2 linked regions of the Coturnix japonica genome follow. The protein of the gene in region 1 interacts with the protein of each later gene in a pairwise test. Links are inferred from orthologs where the notes say so. Each region holds a gene or a part of one and is shown on either strand. Other genes may lie near its edges.

What was found.
Region 2: the proteins of PACSIN1 (region 1) and COBLL1 interact in binary tests that used the Homo sapiens proteins (3 or more experiments, as listed by UniProt). The link is inferred for Coturnix japonica from reciprocal best matches to the Homo sapiens genes PACSIN1 and COBLL1.

The regions. Positions count from the first base shown.
Region 1 is NC_029541.1:4,226,504-4,236,892, forward strand, and holds the start of PACSIN1 (protein kinase C and casein kinase substrate in neurons protein 1), read right to left. Parts: upstream 6,750-10,389; 5' UTR 6,611-6,749; intron 3,057-6,610; exon of another isoform or gene 2,934-3,056; intron 1-2,933. Other genes in the region: RPS10 (40S ribosomal protein S10), read left to right, coding at 8,393-8,542, 8,860-9,031. UniProt on the Homo sapiens protein: Plays a role in the reorganization of the microtubule cytoskeleton via its interaction with MAPT; this decreases microtubule stability and inhibits MAPT-induced microtubule polymerization.
Region 2 is NC_029522.1:26,489,824-26,499,714, reverse strand, and holds part of COBLL1 (cordon-bleu protein-like 1), read left to right. Parts: intron 1-2,034; coding exon 2,035-2,293; intron 2,294-4,694; coding exon 4,695-4,780; intron 4,781-5,360; coding exon 5,361-6,979; intron 6,980-8,091; coding exon 8,092-8,277; intron 8,278-9,891.

The sequences.
Region 1 (10,389 bases):
GTTATTTTTGGCTCTGCATCGCTTTCAACGTTGCTGCCTGGTTGCTGCTCTCCTGCCATGCACCCGGACACACAAACATGCAGACATGCAGACATGTGTGTGTGTACTCCGTGCAGCCAGACCTGTGCTCGATGCCCACCGCCCAGGCAGCAGCGCAGCCCCCCCATCCCCTCCATCACTTCGCATTGAGGTGGCTGGTGGTGATGCCCGGTGGCTGAGCACAGTGTGGGTGAGCTGCCAGCCCCAGCTGGGTGCTGTCATTGGGAACCCTGAGCAATGCAGCTCTGCATCCCTGCCCTGAACCACCCCAAAAGCCACCAGAGGGTTTTGCAAACTGCAGCAGTGAAGTTTGTCTGAGCTCGTGCCCCTGCAGATGCTGCTGTGTCCTTGGGTTGCTCCCACAGCCTCAGCTCCCCCTGCACCTCTCCATCCTCCCCAGCAGCCTGCTCAGTGCACAGCTCAGCTCTTGAGACGCAGCTCCTGCTGCTGCAGTGGGTCTCTGTCCCTGTGCAGGTGCTGGGTTCTGGGATGCAGGCGCTGACCCCATGCAGGCAGGAGGTGCTGCAATGCAGAGGGCTGGCACTGCTGATGCTGTGGGCACAGGAGCTGGGAATCCCCACAGTTGTATCAGTAGGAGCTGCTTGAACCAGGCTGCACCCCCCATGCTGGGGCTGGGGATAGAGAGGGTGGCATCACAACCACATTCACTATCAGTGGGTTTGCTACATCCACTGAGCAAAGCAGATCTGAGCCCTGCTGCAGGGCTGAGAGTGCTGATGGGGTCGGTGCCATGCCAGGATTAGCCTTAGTGCCAAACCCTCCTGCAAAGTGTCCCAGCCCTGATGCAGCCCCTCAGTGCTGCCCGAGGACCTCATCTGCAGGAGCACGTGAGCAGGGCAGGATGCAATGTGCTGCGTGCTGTTGTCATGTAGCTCCTTGGTGGCTCCCAGCAGGGCCATCAGTACAGCAGAGAGCCCTGGCAATTCAAAATGAGCTAATTGTCTGGGCTGGTCTTATTGCAATTAAACGCAGGGTCCTGGCTTGTCACAGAACACCCTTCCAAGCAGCTGTAATGTGAAATAGGTGCTGCATTTTGGTTTCCTCCTGCAAGGAGCCTGGGGGTGCATGTAGGGCTGTACTGGGAGGGATTCAGGCTGCATTTCAGCAGCCCCAATTTGGCTGCAGGCAGCTGATATCCTCACCCCTATTGCTGCTAATTGCAAATGGTGGGTGCAGCACTGGTGGCCTCGGTGCCACATGAAAACCACTGTAGCTGAAGACAAACAGAACAGCAGTGCCAAGAGCAGGGCCCCACCTCATGCACACTCATTGCACCAAGGAATGGACACAGGGTGCTTCTCTATGGGGTTCCAGACATGGCAGTGCTGTGGGGCTGGCTGGGGGGTAACGCACACAGCACATCCATGGGGCGATGTGTGGGTAATGCTGGGAACTTCTGAGGTTCTGTTCCACTGAGCCCTGTGCAGGACGTGCCCATGGCAGCGCCTTGTCCCAGCCCAGGGGGAGCAAGGACAGGAGGGGACGGGTCCAGCGAGCAGACCTGCAGCTTCCTCCAAACAGGAGCATTTGTAAAGGAGGTTCATTGGAACAGGATTGCTACAAGAGCCCCACGTCCCATTTGTGGACAGCAGGGAGCCCACCTGGCTGGGATGGGGCTGGGATGGGGCTGGGATGGGGCTGGGATGGGGCTGCGTGCTGCCAGTGCTGCCACATTGCATCACCAGGGCAGTGCTTTTTGCTCCAGGACCTGGCAGCAATCAGCTTCACATTCTGTGTGCTCTGTGTGCAGAAATATTCCTCCTCCTCTCCCCAGCGTTATCTGGCTGAGCACGCAGGACACCCATCAAAGTCTTCCAAGGGATTTTACAAGCCTTGCTCAGATTTCTGGAAGTTATGCATGGCATTTGCAGATAACAGCAGTGTTTCTCTCCGGGGGAGCTTGCAGCCAGAACAGGTACAGCGGATGTGCCAGGAATGTGGATAGACACCAGTGGAGATCTGGAGCAGGATTGTCAGCCCCATAATGTGCTCAGGCCTGGGGAAGGGAAACTGCTCTGAGCCTCAGTTGCTGGGGTTCCAACTTGCCTTGCAGCTCTGCGGCTCTTCTCAGCCTGCCTTCTTAGCTCGCTGCTGTAAACAAGGATGCTCTGCCTCTTGAGTAGGGATTTTTGCAGTCCCAGGAGTGGGGTTGAGATGGAAATCCAAATATGTGCTTTGCAATTAAGCCGAGAAGTGCTGGAGGATGTGGGGGTGCTGACCCCTTGCTTCCATATGAGGGACGGGGGAGGCAGAGCAATGTGTGCTTGAGGGGGGGTCCCATCCAGGGCTGGCATCCCCCTCCTCCTGCCAAGGGCTGGCAGTGATGGAAGTGGAACGGGGCTGCCATGGGGCTGCCATGGGGCTGCCATGGGGCTGCCAGGTGCCTGGGGTTTGGCTGTTAGTGGTGGGGGAAGAGACTTGGGTATGGGTGGGGGTCTCAGTGAGGGGGAAGGAAACAGGGAGAAGCTGGGGGGAAGGCAATTAAAGGAGGGGTTCAGCAACAGGGTGAGGGGCTCATCTGGGCAAGGAGACAGTGATGGTGGGGGCAACACGAGTCCTCATCCCTCCGGACCATTGGAGCAGCCGGGGAAACTGAGGCACGTCCCTGGTAGCGCAGCAGGGTCACAGCCCCAGCACCATCACGGACACACAGGGGAACTGAAGGTCACGTGTGCATCCCCCCAGCTCACATTGATGATCAGGTACATCATACCCTGCCCTGGGGGGTGAACATAAACCAGCTCCTCGCAACACCCCCCTGACCCCCCCATGCACACAAGGCACCCCAAGCATCCCGCAGCTCCATCCCCCTGCCTGTCCCCCGTCCGTCCCCAGGCTCCCTGCAGTGAAGCACCGCAGGGGCTGCCTCTTACCTGGGCCGGGCTGTGTGGCTGCAGGGGGCTCGGGGGGGTTCGTTGGGACGCTGCGTTGCGCTGCGCTCAGCACCAGCCGGGCAGCAGCACCGTGCACGGCCACGGGAGCGCGCCCAGCCTGCAGCCTGCAGTCGTCAAGGCAACCAGGGATGGAGCCGATGCTTAAAAGGTTGCAAAAACCATCCAGGGAGGATGTGGACCCCCCCCTTCCCCCCAATATCCACATGCCTCGGCATCAGGTTTCTTAGGAAGCAGGAAGGGCAGGTGTTTGCTGCGCCTTGTGTGCACACCTGGGGCTGTAGGGTGCTCAGCACACACTCGTCACAGTGCAAGGTGATGTGCTCCTGGGGCACAGTGGGTGCTGGGCTATGGGGGCACACAGCAGCACCTTGTGTCCGGTCCCATTGGTGCTGCAGGGCTCCAGGAGGGCTGGGAACAAGTTCTTATCAGCCTCCAGCTGTGCTGCAGTGTTGCTCTGTCCTTGGGATCCTTGGGATCCTCATGCAGCAGGTGCAGGGCAGCAGGATGGGATGGAGCAGAGCTCTCCCTCCACTCCTCCCCCTGGTGCAGTGGGGAGGGTTTCATGGCTGAGCTCTTATAGAAACAAACACCCCAGAACACCTTTGGAGATGCAGCTGGTGCCGCCTCGCTGCCAAATGTGCCAGCAGGGAAGGAGCTGGTGCAAGAGCTACATAGAAACATGGGATGGGGAAGGGGCAGAGTAGCTGCACCCCATGAGCTGCTGCACCCCATGAGCTGCTGCTCCAAGGCCATGGAGCCAGGCAGTGCCTCCTCCCAAACCCCAGGGTTGTGTCTGGGCATTCATCCCATTGTGCCACATCCGTGAGCCCTATGGGCAGCAGCAGCTGGAGCCATGGTGCGGGTGGGCTCTCCCACTCCCCATTGCCTGCGTTTTCCCCCAGCTCGGGGTGATGTCAGGGAAATTCAAAGCTGGCAGGAGACGAACGGCTCGGGCTGAGTAACCGAAGCCGCCCACAGGAGCTGCAGTAATGAGGCTGGCTGCTTGTCGGGCTGCAGCTGCCCAGATCGGGTTGCCCACAGAATGCAACCCGCTCCCATGAGGCTCAGCCTGGATCAGCTTTCCCCTAATGAGCGCCTTCCATTCCTTAATGAAGCTTGGTGGGTCTGTGTGCCATCTGAGCACGTCTTCCAACCTTTAGCAAGCCAGAAAGGTCCTGAAATATTTCAGGGCTCTGTGCTGGCTGCAGGGGAGGAGGCAGCGTGAGACCCAGGTGAAATAATGCTGCCCCAACACAGAGCGGGGGGGCTCAGGCTCCTGCAGCATCATTTGGTCTTTGCTTTTTGCCATTTCAGGGTCCTCAGCCCCGGCAGCATCTGGGCACAGGGGAGCAAATGCTCTTGGCATTAAACACTGGGGGGTGGTGGGGGATTCCAGTGACCCTGTGATACATGGAGCCCTGCAGTTCAGAGCCCTGCAGTGAGTGCCAGCTGGATGCTGTGGCACAAACAAGGCCATGACAAACCCTCCCCCATTGTGCACCATCCCAGCGGTCACTATTTCCTGCAATAACTCATTTCCCCCTTCAATAAAATGAGTTTCCCCATGGGAAGCAGCGGGCAGTATTGGCAGGAAATTAGCCTTGATTTATGTGGCTTCTTGGCACTCTGAAATTAAGATTCTTCGAGCACCACGGTGAACTGAGAAGCAAATCATCCTGACTGCACTGCTGGTGCAGCAGCCCCATGTTTGTGCCCTGCATCAGCTACAGATGTGCTGCAGGTCCCAGGAACACTCCGGCTTGCTGGGAGAATGCAAACACGAGGCTATTTTGCATCTCTAATTAGCATCGGAGGATAATTGGCCCCTCTGCAGCAGTTATGCAGAAAGCCGGTCATTGTGAAGGGCCCCCGACGTGGGGCAGGTGCTGCCAGCAGCCCAGCTCCCACCACAACAATCCCCTTTTTGTCTGCCCATACCCAGCCCCAAGGCGGCCTGTGAGCCCCTTCCGGGGCAGGGGCCGGGACATAAAGGCTCCTTTTTATTGGGAAAATGCCTGTGTGTGGGGTCTGCTGTGGGCAGCAGCTGGGAGCAGCGTGTCCCTATTGCTCACAGCCATGGCAATGTTGGGGTCGCTGCCTCCTTTCCCCCCTGCTGCTGTGCCCCATAGGGGAAGTGCCTTCTCCAAGGCTCCTCTATTTGCCTTCATGCCGTTGCACAAGCACTGCCCTGCTCGCTGCCCCACCGGGGACAAAGTCTGTCCATGGGGCAGAGCTGCACGTGAGGCTCCTGCAGCCACCCGGGCTGCCTTTCCTCAATCCCTTTAGTTAAATCCATCCCACACAGGAAGAGGCAGCGATGGCCAAGAGGGGCAGGAGGGGATGGGGACACGGCTGCGAGCACCCAGAACAGGCTCAGTGCTGTCAGCAGCAGCCCTGGCATTCAGCCACTGATAAATTCCCCTTTGCAGCGTTAATCTCCTTCCCAAGCCTCTCCTCTCCCTTTTCCAGCTCTCATCCCTGAGCTGAGGAGGAGTGGGGATACAACACATCCTCACCACCAGCAGTGCCACCATAGTCCTGCCTACCCAGAACTGCTGCATGGGGTTGTTTGTTGCCTTGTGAGCCCCCAGCTGCAGGAGCCACATCTCAGTGTAAGGTCACCGTGCCCCACAGCTCAGGGGCAGCCCATAGTGCAGGAACTGCTGTGTCCCATATCTGTGATCTGTGGCAATGCAGCACCCAGCGGGAGCAGCTCGGGGAGGCTGCAGGAGGAGCACAGCTCTAATCCGTTTAGCAAAGTGCTTGCTTGGCTGTTTGTGAGCAAGGAGCAAGAATGGCAGAGAGGAGATGTGTGCAGAGCAGCGGGATGGGAAGGACAAGGGCAGCAATCCTGGTCAGGGCGTGGGGCCAGGAGATGCGTTTCTCCCCTGCAGTCATTGCTGCATCCCTGGGTCTGCTTTTCCCCTCCTCGTCCTATCGGTGACCCATCCTGGTTCTTCTAAAGGAGCAATTCTTTGCACCCAGTGCTGAGGATCCTGAATTTCTCACCGGGCAAGTCAGAGGATGCCAAGCGCACAGCAAGGAGGCAGAGGGAAGATGAGCACAATCGTTCCGTTTGCTCAGCGCTGACAGCCCTGACAATTGCAGGCTGTTCAGGGCGGCTTTTTGGCTCCCAGCCCTCTTTTATCCATTGTGGGGAGCTGGAGGGACCCCGTTCCTGGTGCGGGATGCTCTGCGGGTTCTCCATGGAGCAGCACAATGGTGCCAGCCCCCAGCTGACAGAGTGAGCCTGGCCTTGGGGCACTCCTGGGGCTGTTATTGAGCTGATGCAGCTTTTGCATAACGTATAGAGCGGGGGCGAGCCACGAGATGCCACAGAACCTCAGATGAGACCCACCTGACAGCAGCCCCCCGAGCTCAGGCACAAGATAGTAAGCAATCCCCAGTCCTAGAGAAGTTTGGCAATGTCATAAACCAGGCAGCACTGAGCTGCTATGCCAGAATCTCACCTCCCAGGTCCAGGAGCATTACAGGGCTGACACCTCCACCAGGGTGCACAGCAACACGCCGATACCAAGCGTCCCATCCATACAGCAGGGCCACCACCATCCCCATCACCCACCGCCCACCGGGAGCCCCCCACTGCCAACATCTGGAGCCAGAACATGCCGGGAGCCCCGGGGACGCGTCGGTACCTTGGGCAAAAGGCTGCAGGGCCCATGGGAGGGCACGGGGAGGGCGCTGGGCTGCGGATGCTGGGCGGCACTGGGGGTGGCCGGGGTGATGGCTGGGAACCCAGAGGCTCCGTCTCACTCGGGCTGGTTCTGCACATTGGGAGGAAGGTCACGGCAGATGGGGAGGAGGGGGTAAAGATCAGCACGGAGATTACAGAGGCATTTTTAGCCAGCCAATCGCCACCCCGGCTCGGCATAATGACTCCTTCGCAGCACAAGGTGAAAACGTTACCGCAGGAGCAGCGAAGAATAAGCTCGGGTGGCTGCGGGGGGGTCCTCAGCCTCATTGCACACTGTGCTGTGAGCTGACACCTCCCCACGCTCTTTCCTTCTCCTCCATCCTATGGCTCACAGCCCCTGTTCCTTCCCTTCTCCCTGTGTGATGTGGGCAGACCTGAGGTTGCCCCCTGGTCTGATGGAGGGATGCACCTAATGGAGCCTCCACCCATCTCCCCTGGGGTGCTGAGACCTCCAAGCAGCCTTAAGTGCTGGGTGCTGTGTGGGGTATGGGACACAGCCTGCGTCCTGCCATCCTGCTCTGCCTCTGCCCTCAGCAAACCCCATCCAGGACCAAGGGAACACAGTGGGATCAGAGAGTGTTAGTGTTGTGCTGAGCAGCGTGGTGTGAGCGGAGCTGTGTGTGCTGGAGCCCCAGATCCCAGCACAAGGAGCTGCTGGGAGCTCGTTGTGCTGGAACCACGAGCCCTTTGCTCTGCAGGGAGCAGCGTGGGTGGAACTCACTTACACACTCATTTTGCTCCCTGGGATCCCAGCCAGAGCTTTACAGCCCGGCTCCAAAGGGCAGCACTGACTGACCAGCTCCTCACGGCTCTGCCTGCAGTAAGGGCTGATGGCAGCAGGGCTCAATGTGAGCACACAGAGCAGCAGGGAAAGCCCTGCTGGAACATCCCCTGTCCTCCATGTGTATGAATACAAAGGCTGCTCGTCCCCATTATGAGGCTGCATGGGGGCACCCAGGGAAGGCCATGGGCTGCTGTCAGGGTGAATGCACGGTGACTGCTGTACTCATAGCAATAGGAAGCCATGGCCAAGCCCTGCTCTGTGGCTCCTGGTCCCCCCTGTGCCACCAGCCCCATAGTATGGCCTGAGCCCTGTGCTAATCCACGGGGGATGATCCCAGCCATCAGCACTGTAAATCCCATTGCTGTGTGACACATGTGGGAGCTGCAGGGGATGGAGCTGAGCTCCATGGCTGCCCCAGCGCCCATTTAATGTCAGGGATGCTGAGGTTAAAGGGCTAATTCCTATCAGGCATCACTACGGACACCTTTCTCGGTGACCTGACTGGGGGCCTTGCGCACCTTGCTACAGGCAGCGCGGTGGACACCCTCAGCGCTTGGGGGGGCCTTCGGGAGGCCGGAAGTGAGAGCGCGGCGCATGCGTGTTCCTTTCCGCTCTCGGCCCCGCTGAGACTGTCACGGTGAGGCAGCGCTCCGGGCCTACATCGGGCTCGGATCGGGCTTGTATCGGCTCCATCCGCGGGCGGAGCCGTGAGGCAGCACCGGGACAGAACGGGGGAGATCAGGCCCGGCCCATCCGCGGCGATATTTCCGGGATCGGGGGGATCTGGGCCCGGGATGGCGAGGCGGAAGGCCTGGGGGGGCAGTAGGCCGCAGTAGGCCGCGGGAGGCCTTAGGCCGGCAGGGTGGGCCGCGGGGCGCTAAGGGCCGGGAGTTGTGATTCATTGGGAATAGGCAGGATTTAGTGCTGTTTGTCCTTTAGATGTTGATGCCCAAGAAGAACAGAATTGCCATCTACGAGCTCCTCTTTAAGGAGGGAGTGATGGTGGCCAAGAAAGACGTCCACATGCCGAAACACCCGGAGCTCGTCGATAAGAATGTGCCCAATCTCCATGTGATGAAAGCCATGCAGGTACGGAGGTGAGGGCGAAATGCTGGGTCTGGGCCATAAGATACTGTGTATAGCAGATACCTGTGGGTAAATGTTGCTGCTTGTTACCAAATAACATTGTTATAGTCATCATTTCTTTCCTATTCCAATAGTCCCACTATTTACTTGATCTGTTCTCCACAGTCTGTTGAAGACTTTTGGTGTGATCCACATCTCTAGCTCTTTTCTTCAAGCTCTGATGCATTTGTATGTGGTATCATTATATTTCCTGCATGTGCACTTAGATTATTGCCCCATGTCTCTGATAAACCTGACGTAACTGAGAATTCTCTCTCCAGTCTCTGAAATCCCGTGGTTATGTGAAAGAGCAATTTGCTTGGAGGCATTTCTACTGGTACCTGACCAACGAGGGCATCCAGTACCTGCGCGATTACCTGCACCTTCCCCCTGAGATCGTCCCTGCAACCCTGCGCCGCAGCCGCCCCGAGACCGGCAGACCACGGCCCAAAGGTAAAATGGGGTTGGGAAGTGGCAGCAGAAGGAAGCAGAGGGTGAGGGTTGTGTGTGTTAGACAATGTAGGTGAGGTTAGTCAGGTGGATGTATAAACTAATAGATGATGCGTCGTTATGGGTTTAGTTGTGTTTATATTTGGCACTAATACTGGAGTACTGAAGATTTGGAGGTGGCTAAAGAAAGTTGTGAGTGAGGGAAGCACACAGAGCTTTCCTGCTGGTAACACAAGGGAGTGGAGCCTCTGAGATCCGGCCCATTGACACTGCAGGCTGTGGATCGAGGGGACAGGTGGTGGCTGGAGCTTTCAAAGGGCAGAGCACACAGACCACTGCAGTTCTCCATCAGGAAGATGGCGTGTGTGTTCTCTGTCAGTCCAGCAGATACAGAGAACCTTGGCTCTACTAGAAGTATCCATAGAAAAGCTCCTTGGGAGGCCAGGGTTGCCATTGTAGGGAACAAACAGCAGCCAGGCTGGGCTGTGAGGTTCAGTGATGAAGAATGAGGGCTGAGCTTTGGTGCTGGACAATTCTCTGGTACCTGGGATGAAGCTGGTAGCCCAGTCAGCAGGTTCTGGGCCCTGTGATCAGGATGGAGGCTGTGGGCATGTTGTGGTGAGGAGGTTTCTTTGATCTCTCAGCTTTGGGTGTTACCCAGTGTAAGCTGTGTTTATCCAGAGAGCTGGAGTGACTGCGGATCTGATGAAAGCTTTTGTAGTTCCATGGCTAAAATTTGTCTTTTTTGGTGCTTTCATGCAATGCTCCCAACTTTCTCAAGTGACACTTTGGTAAACAGGCTGGAACATTGAGTCTAAAGCAGAGTTCAGTATCACATCTGGCCATAGCTGTGTCTTACTGCCTGAGCATCGAGACCTTGGTCTGATGCTGTGGGAGAACATTTAATCTTTGATATTGTGGGGGAAATCCATGAGTTGCACAGAAACAGGCAGTTCCACCGCGTCCGTTTCTTTCCTGCAAGTATTCTGTCCAATTTTAATCTGATGTTACATAGATAATCTGCTCTTAGCTTTATTAATCTATTCTGCTGCAGAGGATTTGTAATACTGATAGTAGTACTTTAGATGGGGCTCAGAATGCCGTGCAGGTTGTGACACAGTGAAGTACAGCCCTGCCAATTGTGACAGATTCCCTGCACTCCTGGCTTTTTATAGTAATTATTGGTCCTTGGGATAGTTGTAGCTGTGTTGGATGCTGTACATTCAGTTTTTACACTGTTGATGAGTTCACTCCAAGCACAAGCTGTAGCAGATTGTACCCTTGAGGTGAAGTGTTCCTTGCTGTATTGATTGTCCAGGTAAGCTTACATCCACTGAGCTGTGTAAAGGGCTGTAATGCCT
Region 2 (9,891 bases), on another chromosome or scaffold:
GAAATATAAACTTCACCTTTGTTATGCTTCTTCAGAGCAAGAATGACAGAGATAACTGCATTGACTAGGCACAAAGCCATAGCAACTCCAGAATTATTCTGTTTGTCTTGTTAGAAGTCCTGGCTGTGCTTTATTATAAAAGTCAAGATTCCATGAAGTATTAGACTGAAGGTCTTAGTCTTTGTTCTGTGGTTCCAATAACATGTCGGTTATTGATGGCTCGAGCATCTAGGAACTAACCTGAACCTCTCAGATGCTGCAAGGCCACTTATCAATTGTAATAGTTTTCACTCATTTTCAAGCATAGTAGTTGTCACCTGTGAGGAAGATGTGGTCTTGTAGGTTAGTCTCAGCACATTTGATGTTTGCCAGTATTCTGCTGTCACTGAAATCTCCCAGGACATTTGGCTGCTTGTATGATTTTACCCCAATTTAGAGATCAAATACTTGTGGGTGAGGGAGGGAGGAAGAGAAAAGGGCCTTGGTGGTTATGAAGTCTAAGGAATCAAATCCCTTTGATATATAAGCACATGTGCTTAAGTAATGTGGAAGGAGGTTCACCTGCACCGTTTTGCAATCTTGCTCCTCTTTCCTTGGAGATCGAGATTACTTCTACGCTCAGCTCCATGACTTAGTGATGACAGTGCCTAGTCTGCAGCTGCAAAGCATTATCACAAAAGAGCACTGTGAAAAACTAACTAGAATTAAATAGTAAATTTTTCTTACTTTAGTAGTTGCTCTGCAGCTGTGAATGAGTTCAGTAATGCTATTACTGAAAATTAATTACTGAGAAACAAAAAGTGCTTTTGTTCTCAGTGAAGAGTTTCTCTGAATCACGAACAGTTCTGTTTTTATTTTCTTTCTTTAGTGATACTTCTGTAGAAGTAATGGGTCTGCTGCAGGATAATATTTTGTACAGTAAAATCTGTTTAGGATGTTTCTTATTAAAGAAATATGCTCTGGGTTCTGCCCATTTCCAGGATTGCTTGCTTCAAGCTAGTACTTTATTTTCAGTCTTAGCCTTTTTGTTTAGAGTTGGATTGCGCTTTGAAACTTGCTGATTCAGCCCACTGCAAGGCCTGTACCTTGTATTGATGGATGCAAAGCTAACAGAAATACTCTGCTCAGATCAGAATACACTGATCATATGAGCTTCTGTTATTTCCAGTAGCTTTCCCTGTCACCATATTGCCCTATATAGATGAAATTATTGTTATGTTGTTTGTTTTGCAGAATGTGAGTTGCAAAGCTGAGAGGTTAATTGTATGGTCTACCCATTAATACTTGATAAATGTGAATCAGCATGTTGGTGTAGGAAGATTCCTGGCAGGAAAGTAAAGCCAGAGACAGTCCCTCCGGAAAGAAAAATACTGCGTTTATTAGTCTAACATCAGTTGCACTGTGTTGTGTATCCTAAACCAGAAACTAATCCTTTTTCATCATGGTCTAGCTGAAAATTCCATTATTTTTATGGATTAATGCTTTTCCATATATTTTTTCTTATATTTATTTATTTATTTATTTGCATGGGGCAGTTCACAAGACTCATCTAAATGTGTTTTGATATCCTTGGGATGACTATGGGAGAATTTTGATAGTGATGAACAGGCATGTTCAAAACATGGACTAAGTTCTCTAATGTACTTACTGTGATATAAACGATTCCTTTATTTTAAACCTCACTCGAGAGCTAATGAAGGTTGTTAGAAATCCAGGTGAAATAAACTGCGTGCCTTCATGATATTTGTTATGTGTATTTTTATCTATACTAATTCAGTTCTTGAATTAAGCAAAGGGAAACATCATACAGTAGTTACAGATGCAGAAATGGATGGACATTGGCATGACAATAAGCATAGAAAATACTATGAAATTGAAACTAATTCTTCTTTTTTTTCCCATCCCTCCCTATATTATGAAGAGGACCCTCAGTTTTCCTTCATGAAACTGCTTAGGCCGGCTTCACAGTCCCTTTTTAATCTATATGCTGAAGGTGTGTTTCCTTTTCTTTTTTTCTTTTCTTTGTGAGCTTAGGTGCCAGGACCTCAGAATACAGCCTGGAAGAAATTGATGAAAAGGAAGAGATGAGTGTGCAAGAGGGAGAGGAAAGTGGAAGTACAGATACCTCTCTCAGGACAGGGGAGGTTACTGCAGCCTTCAGCTCTACAGAGGTACCACTGGAAACTGAAAGAAATGATCGTGCTTCATCAGTTCCTGTTGCTGGCACTGTTTCTGTAGACAACTCACAAAGCTTCGAGGAAGAAAAACAAGAAAATATGAGCACAGATGGCAAGTAAGTACGCTTTGTGACAAAGAAAGGAGCACTGGAGAAGGAATGGGGGAGGCAAATAAAATGCAGGGTGCTGTTTCATTGTGGAGCATAAAATAGAGAATTGTAAGAAAGGAATGAGTTCAGTATGCTTAGCTTTTGTTGTAGCACATATCTGGACACAGTAACTCATGAAGCCTTTCAACATAAATGACAGAATATTCTGCTGGCTATTCTGGTTAGACCATTTTTTCTTACTACTGAAACATCCAGACTCCGGAAAAGCTGAACCCATCTCTAAAACATCTAGCACTATTACTAGAACACTTTGCTGAGGAGGGGAAGGGAATAGGGTGGAGGGGAATGAAGTGAGTTAGTTATCGTTTAAAAGCTCATTCATATAGTTGGAGGAAAACAGGTATATTTGCTATGCTGATCAATTGCTCATCTGTTATCTTGCTCTATATTTTTGGTTTTTTCTTCGTATGTTAGCCACTTGTCTTGACCTATTTTGATGCGTCTGCTCCCAGGAAAAACAAGAATTGACACATTGTTTTCCTTAACCACACTTTTTTGGTGATGCTCTAACTTTGCCCTGCAGCATTTTTATTAAACCACTTTCTAATTTGCAGGTTCCCAACATGAGTTACTGCCTGGTTCAAGTCAATGTTGATTGTCCTGGGAGGTCCCCTTGTGTTAATGTAATTCACTATTTATGTGCTCTGTGGGGCAGCTGAACTTGCTAATGTTCCTGATTTAAATTGCAAGAGTTATTTCAATTATTATACTAAAACCAAAATGTGTGAATGCTACAGTAGCTAAAAACGTTGAAGGCAATATAGAGAGCTTAGAATTGCATTTCAAGGGTCTTTCTGTCAATTCAGAGCAAAGAAGGTCTTTGCAAATTCCTTGGTGTTCTGCCCCTCAGTACTGTGTCAGTTGCTTGGGTGTGTCTGCTCTGTGAGGAACTGTGTGGGGGTGCCTCAGCAAAGTTCTCTCAGATTTGCAAATTATCAGACTTGTGTTACCGTGCCAGTTTGGACAGCAGTCATGGGGATATTTCCTCACTGCTCTCCCCTGACTTGTAACAGCCTCTTGTGGCCTGTAATACTGGTGTATCATCTAGTATGCACTGTACCATAATTTCAAAGTTTAGAAATCCCTTCCTTCGTGAAATATCGCAGTGATGAGAATGAGAGCTAGAGGGTTTCTCTGACATTTGTTTATGAAAATCTTCTGGTGATTCAGATTTTTCTAAGATAGGTCTGGTGGCTCTGATACTCTGGCACTTTGTGACATTTTCTTTCTTTTTTTGGTTTGTTTTTAAACAGTTCAGCCCATTGCAAATGGTTTTCATTCAGTCCCTTAGCTCTGTTTGAGGGAGTGAATATAGGCAAGAGTACAGAGGGCAGGACTGAGCTTTAACATTCTTCCAGCAAATTTTGAAAGCTTCTGTTTTAGCAGTTGTTGGACACTTACCATATGTCTTAGACTGTACAGGCAACGTGAGGATGGGTTATTCATTATTTAAAATGATTCAAAGCAGATGCTTCGTTTCATGGCAGTGATTCCTAATGATAACTAAAACATTGGATGTGGCAAATGAATTGGAATCTTCATAGTGACAGTATTAGTTACTACGGAAAATAAAAGTATCACTGAGATAGAAGGCTGAAGTTCTGATAGTTTTGTTTTTTTTTTTAAATGAGAAATGTTAAATATGTTGGCATTTTTCACTTAAATTTTGAAGTCAAATACTTAATATTTCCTGAAAACAGAGGAGAGTTTTTTCAGTACTTATATAGTTCTTTTGTCCCCTCTGATCATAGGACAAACACTGTATGCATTTGCAAAATGTTTAGTATGCAAGTAACACATTTTATGCATATATCTTTGCTGTTCTCAAGATATTTCATGAAACGGAAAGAACATCTTTCATTAGTATTTCAAAAAGTCTGTACTGCGCAGTTCATATGCAGCTGGTGTCTCATGCTGCTCCCTGCAGATTATGCTGGAGACAAAAATCAAAGACGTTGTAAATGTTGGAGGATGTCATAAGACTTCACACTGAGAATGTTGTTAAGGAATGATAAGCCATTGCCTGAGTGATTCACTGAAACTTGAGTTTTAAGAATGGGGCTTGTTCAGAGTGCACGAATAAACAAAAAAAAAAAAAAAAAAGAGGAAAAGGAAAATGGATCACGTTATGTGTACATAAGAGTGAAGCTGAATGTCATTTTGGTAAAATATCATAGCAGCATTTCCTCTCATTTAAAAAAAAATGTATTTTGTTTAGTACTCCAGTGTTTGGCAGAATGATTTCTCCATCTGTGTTTGGAGAACATTGCCAGTTCTCTTGCATCTTTTCTTCTGTTTACTGAAATGAATGATACCAACATATTTAATGTACTGTTGTGCTTTGCAGAGAACTACAGACTCAGATAAGCAGTGACCAAGATGCATTTGAGAAAGACAGGAAGCTTAGAATTTTGGAACAAAATAAAAATCATGGTGAGTAGTTCCCACTCATTTTGTTGAAGAAAAAAGACAACTAAAATGCTGTCACCTCTTGAATTGTGATTATCAGATTATTTTCTTTATACTTTCTGTGCCTTTGGTGTATCCCAACTTGAGATGAGGTGACAAGAATTGGTTGCATTTTTGTTGTTGTAAAGTTAACAAAACACTTGTGATATTAAAAGCATGGAACAGAAGCCACAAAGATGGAAGTAAACAAAAATTGCTTCTAACTTAATACTGAATAGACTGAACAGAGTTTACCTTACTGGTTCCTATTATAATCAACTGAAATTTCTTAGCACTGAAATGATTCAGTAGTAGCTTGTTATTAATTCATGCATGACACCAGAAGGCTGATAATGAAGAATATCTGTGTAAGAAGAGAGTTATTCAGTAATATTAGGTAAATATAACTATAGTTTTTAAAATAAGTGTTAAGGAAAATAATAATAACAGTGAGGAGCTAGTCCTTGTCATTACATTTGTTGGATGTTTAGAACTTAGTGATATTAATGGGAAGGTTAAACCTTTTTGGCATTTGTATTAATTTCTGGAATCTCTTTTTTGAAAGATCACAGTAGCAGAACACTCCTCCCAACAAATGAAGATGCGGGAGAAAAGCAGACAGCAAAAATTAAAGCAGAAGATTTTAGCGAAAACAGCAAGCTTGAAGCTGACAGACTATCAAACTGCCAAGCATCTAAAAATGACATTGCCATAAGTCATAGCAATTACACTCAAATGATTCCAGGAAAGCAAGATCAGAAAACAAGTCAAACCAGCCTGGACACTGTAAAAACTCATGATGTTGCAATTCAGACAGGTCCATTGGTTAGCAATTTGGGAAGGACTGAAAAGAAAGAAATGATTGTTCCTCAAGACTATGAATCATCCACATTCAAAAGAATGGTCCATCAACACAATACAGACACAAACAACCCTGGTCTTCGGGTGATGCAAGGAATACATAAGGATGAAGAAACTTCAACAGAACAAAATCTTCAGAGGCAAGAAGTTTCATATGAGAAAGCAATACCCATGAAAGATGAAATTCATATTTGTACAAATGGCAGTAATGTTACTTCACTAGAAACGATTGCAAAAACTCCAGAAGGGTCTCCTATAAGGGGTTACCCTCTTTATAGGCAGGACATGAAACCTAAACTGAAGCCTGCTAATGAAATTACAAGAGATTACATACCAAAAATTGGAATGACTACTTATAAAATTGTGCCTCCTCCAAAATCCTTGGAAACAATGAAGAGCTGGGAATCAGATGTTTCAGATAGTAAGGCTCAAGAGGTATCTGCTTCCAAAAACACTCTGGAGTATGAAGACCCCAAAGAATTAATAATGCAAACTGAAATTCCTCATCTTCCCAAAAGTACAGGTCACTTACAGACTGGTTTGCAAAATATACCCACTGCAAAAAATGATCTGCTGCACAGAATGCAGAGCACTTCTGAACATGGGGTGCCATCTGGAACCAGGGTTACCTCCGAGGTCAATCAAATAGAGACAGTATCATCGAAGCAGCTTGTCCCACCAGTGCTAACCTTAAGTAATACAAATGCTTCTTCTGAGACTCAGGAGAAGTCAAATGCTCTAAGTCCTACAACAGCTAAGCCTAGTTCGTTTTATCTGCAAATGCAGCGAAGAGTTTCAGGTCACTATGTGTCATCTGCAATTGCCAGGAATACCATCTGTGCTCCTAATTCCATTCAAAGTGAAGTTAAAAATACAGAGTTAGAAAAAAAAATCTCATCACCTGATGAAACTGCATTACTTACTACAAGTAGCTCCTCTCTGCCAGTAGAAGACAAAGATAATGATGGGAAAAGAACTGAATCTTCCACTTCTCCTGTTAAAAACAATAAACCACCAAGTTCTCCCTCCTGTCAGCCAGCACCGTTGAACCTAAGAACTCTAAGAACTTTTGCAGTTCCAAAGCCATACTCCAGTTCGAGGCCATCCCCTTTTGCACTTGCTGTCTCCTCAGCTGTCAAAAGATCACAGTCATTCAATAAAACGCGTACAGTCTCTAGCCTGGCACCAAGAGAAGAATGTCCTGTTGAACTCTCATCTGCTTCTTCTGCAGCTGAATCCTCCTCAGCTACCTCCATGCCTCAGGTGAAAACCCCTTCCTTACACAGTGTCATCGGAGGGCCACAAAATAGTCTGATGGATAAGGTAAAGTTTATTAATAATATTTTTTTTATCTTTGATCTGCTGTGATGTCATCATCAGCAGAGCAGTGACTTTGGCTTCTTTCTGAACTGTTTGCTTATCAGAAAGTTCTGTATTGATACAGTGTAAACTACCTCTGTGAATGTGTAGATGGAACTATATTATAATTTAGAGAGCTGTTTCAAGCGGTTCTGGGAGCTTGGCATATCCATATGTCTGTGATGTGTAGATGCTGGCTGTCTTGCATCTTCTGTACAGATCCGCAGTATTCTGACAAGCAGCAGTACTATCCAAAACTTTCTGTTTCTATTATGACTGTTTTCTTCAGGCATGGAAGTTAGAGGCTAATCTTTGGTTCAAAATACAGTAATGCTTCTCCTCCTTCCTGCTTGTGGTTCGGAATACTTTGACAGACTTTTCAGAGTGGCTTCTGGAATATTTTGTGTCAAATTTAGATTTCCATACAGATGCATTAGTAAAATAAATGTTGCGGCAATAACAAGATTTATCTGGGAATACTTTATAACTGATCTTTGTTAGATATTTCAGTTCTCAAGCAATGCTCAGTTATGCTACAATAGTTGGTGTCAAAGGACCTAAATTTAGATGGTGACATTTTGGAATAAAATCCAATCAAGTTGTCAGGGGGAAAAAAGCAAGCAAAAAACCTATGGATCTCAACCAGTTGTAACACTTGAATACTTTCCTGTTTACTTAAGATATAATTTCAAGTTATAAAATCATGAGGTTTTTGAGTGCTTGATTTATTATTTTTATACTTATATTTCCTTTTGAAATATGTTTTTTCCATATCATATCACTTTGTGGTATCACATACTCATCTTGGAGGAATTACTTTATCATTTTAGTAAGTTTCATAAGTTGCTTTTATATCTTTTTTGTTACTGATAAATTGAAGATCACTTCCCAAAGCTATAGTAGAAATGGGGCTTATACCTGAGATCTTGAACAAATCAAATTTTATAGTGGCACAGTCTGATATGTGACCTCCTGTGAGTTGACATAGTTTTTTCTTTGCTGCTAATTAGCTAATTAACATTAAAGGATTTTTGTTTATTTATTTGTTTTGTCCTTCTCACTTCCTTCGTTTCTAGAAAAGCAGCAATGTAAGCAACAGTGAGCAAAAGATTCAGGCACAGTCAGGTGCTTCAGCTGACCACCCACGCCCTATCATTATGAGACAAACCTCAACACCAGTCCAGCGCTCTGACCCAGAACAGATCCACCAGAGCTTGCTGGCCGCAATCCGCTCTGGAGAAGCTGCAGCCAGATTGAAAAGGGTGAGTTTTTGTCATTGCATCCATAACAATGAACTCATGATGCCTCCTTCAAAATTACCATATTAATGCCTGACACTAAATGCAGTCAGCTTGGACATGAAGTGCTATGTACTAGATATCCTAATGGGAAGGGAGGGAGGGAGGAAGTTCAGTTTTGCAGAATGAACTGATGAATGCATTTTTATTTGTACAGATTTGTATGTTCATATATGCAAATAGCACAAATACGTGGTGTTAAGCACATGCTAAGCATCTTCATCCTAGACTCAAATTAGCTGCAATCTTTTCTAGGTAGATAAATAGAAGTTTTGAATATTTATTTTCTTCTAGTTATTAGACTTTATCAGGTCCTTCATTCTTCATAAATGTATTTCAAGCCTCCTGCTTGGTATCATTAGTAAGATATTTTTCAGTGTTTTGTCAGTAGTCCTGGCAGGACTGTTCTCCTTCACTCTCTCAGGTAAAAAAAAAATTGATGCTTGGTTTTGGTCTCCTGAAATGCACTCTCACAGGGGAAAATAGTGCAGACTTTAAAAATCTGTTGTTTTAAATTTGAACCAGACAATTTAATGATAGTCTCACACAAAACTCTCTTGACTCAGCAGTAATATTTTGCATTCTATATTGAAGAATAATTTCTCATTGCAGAAACTTTAGAAACTCAGTAGGTTTTGTTTTTCTTCCTTTTTCCACTTGAAACTTGAATAAAAGCAAGTAAAGTGTTATGGGTGGATGTGAGGGTATTTTTAAATTGTCTTTAATGGAAATGTTTGATATCCCTTACAATCACAATATGTCAGTTGATGGGTAGACATTCGAATAGCCTTTTTTAAATATGTGAGGTTTTGATTCAGCGTTGCACTACAACAGCCTCTCTGAGACTTACGCATCTCCTGGTATTTCTATGCTGAATAGGAAAACTGTTTTCTGGAAAGGTTATAAAAATGCATAACTTGTCCACAACTAGGTAAGCATACTGAACTAGTAGTCAGTAAGAGTGGTACATAATGTGCCCTAGCATTGCTTCTAACTACTATGTATCACTAACCACAAGCCACTTTAAAAACATGTTAATGAAAATACAAAATGTAAGAAAATGTAACACAAGATAGGTGGGAAGGTTCAACCATACCACCACCATCTGCCTCTGATATTATGGGCTGATATAATAAAATTGGAGGCATTACTTTCAGAGCACCTCTTGTGGATGTATTTGCAAGTATTTTTATTAGGGTATTTTTCCAATACATAATTACATTGTGGGTAATACTTAATTTTATTTATTTTGCATAGTGTATGAACTTTCTTTTGTGATTCTATGGGAAATATCCATGGGCTACATGGTAACTTGCAAGTATTTTATAAAATAAAATTTATGAAGTGCTTTTCAGAATTCAATAAATGTACTGATACCGAACATACCAAGGGAAAAAAAAATAGTTTGTCCACTATTTTCTAATAGAGATGTTTAGTGACCCACACAGTCCTTATCAGTCGTACGTGTACACAAAGAACGAGGTGATGACTAAAAACCTTTTTCCCCCATCACTCTCTCACTCTCCTGTGAGTGGGAGATGTTGTTTCCCCATGTAGCACTTGTAGAGGCTTGTGGGT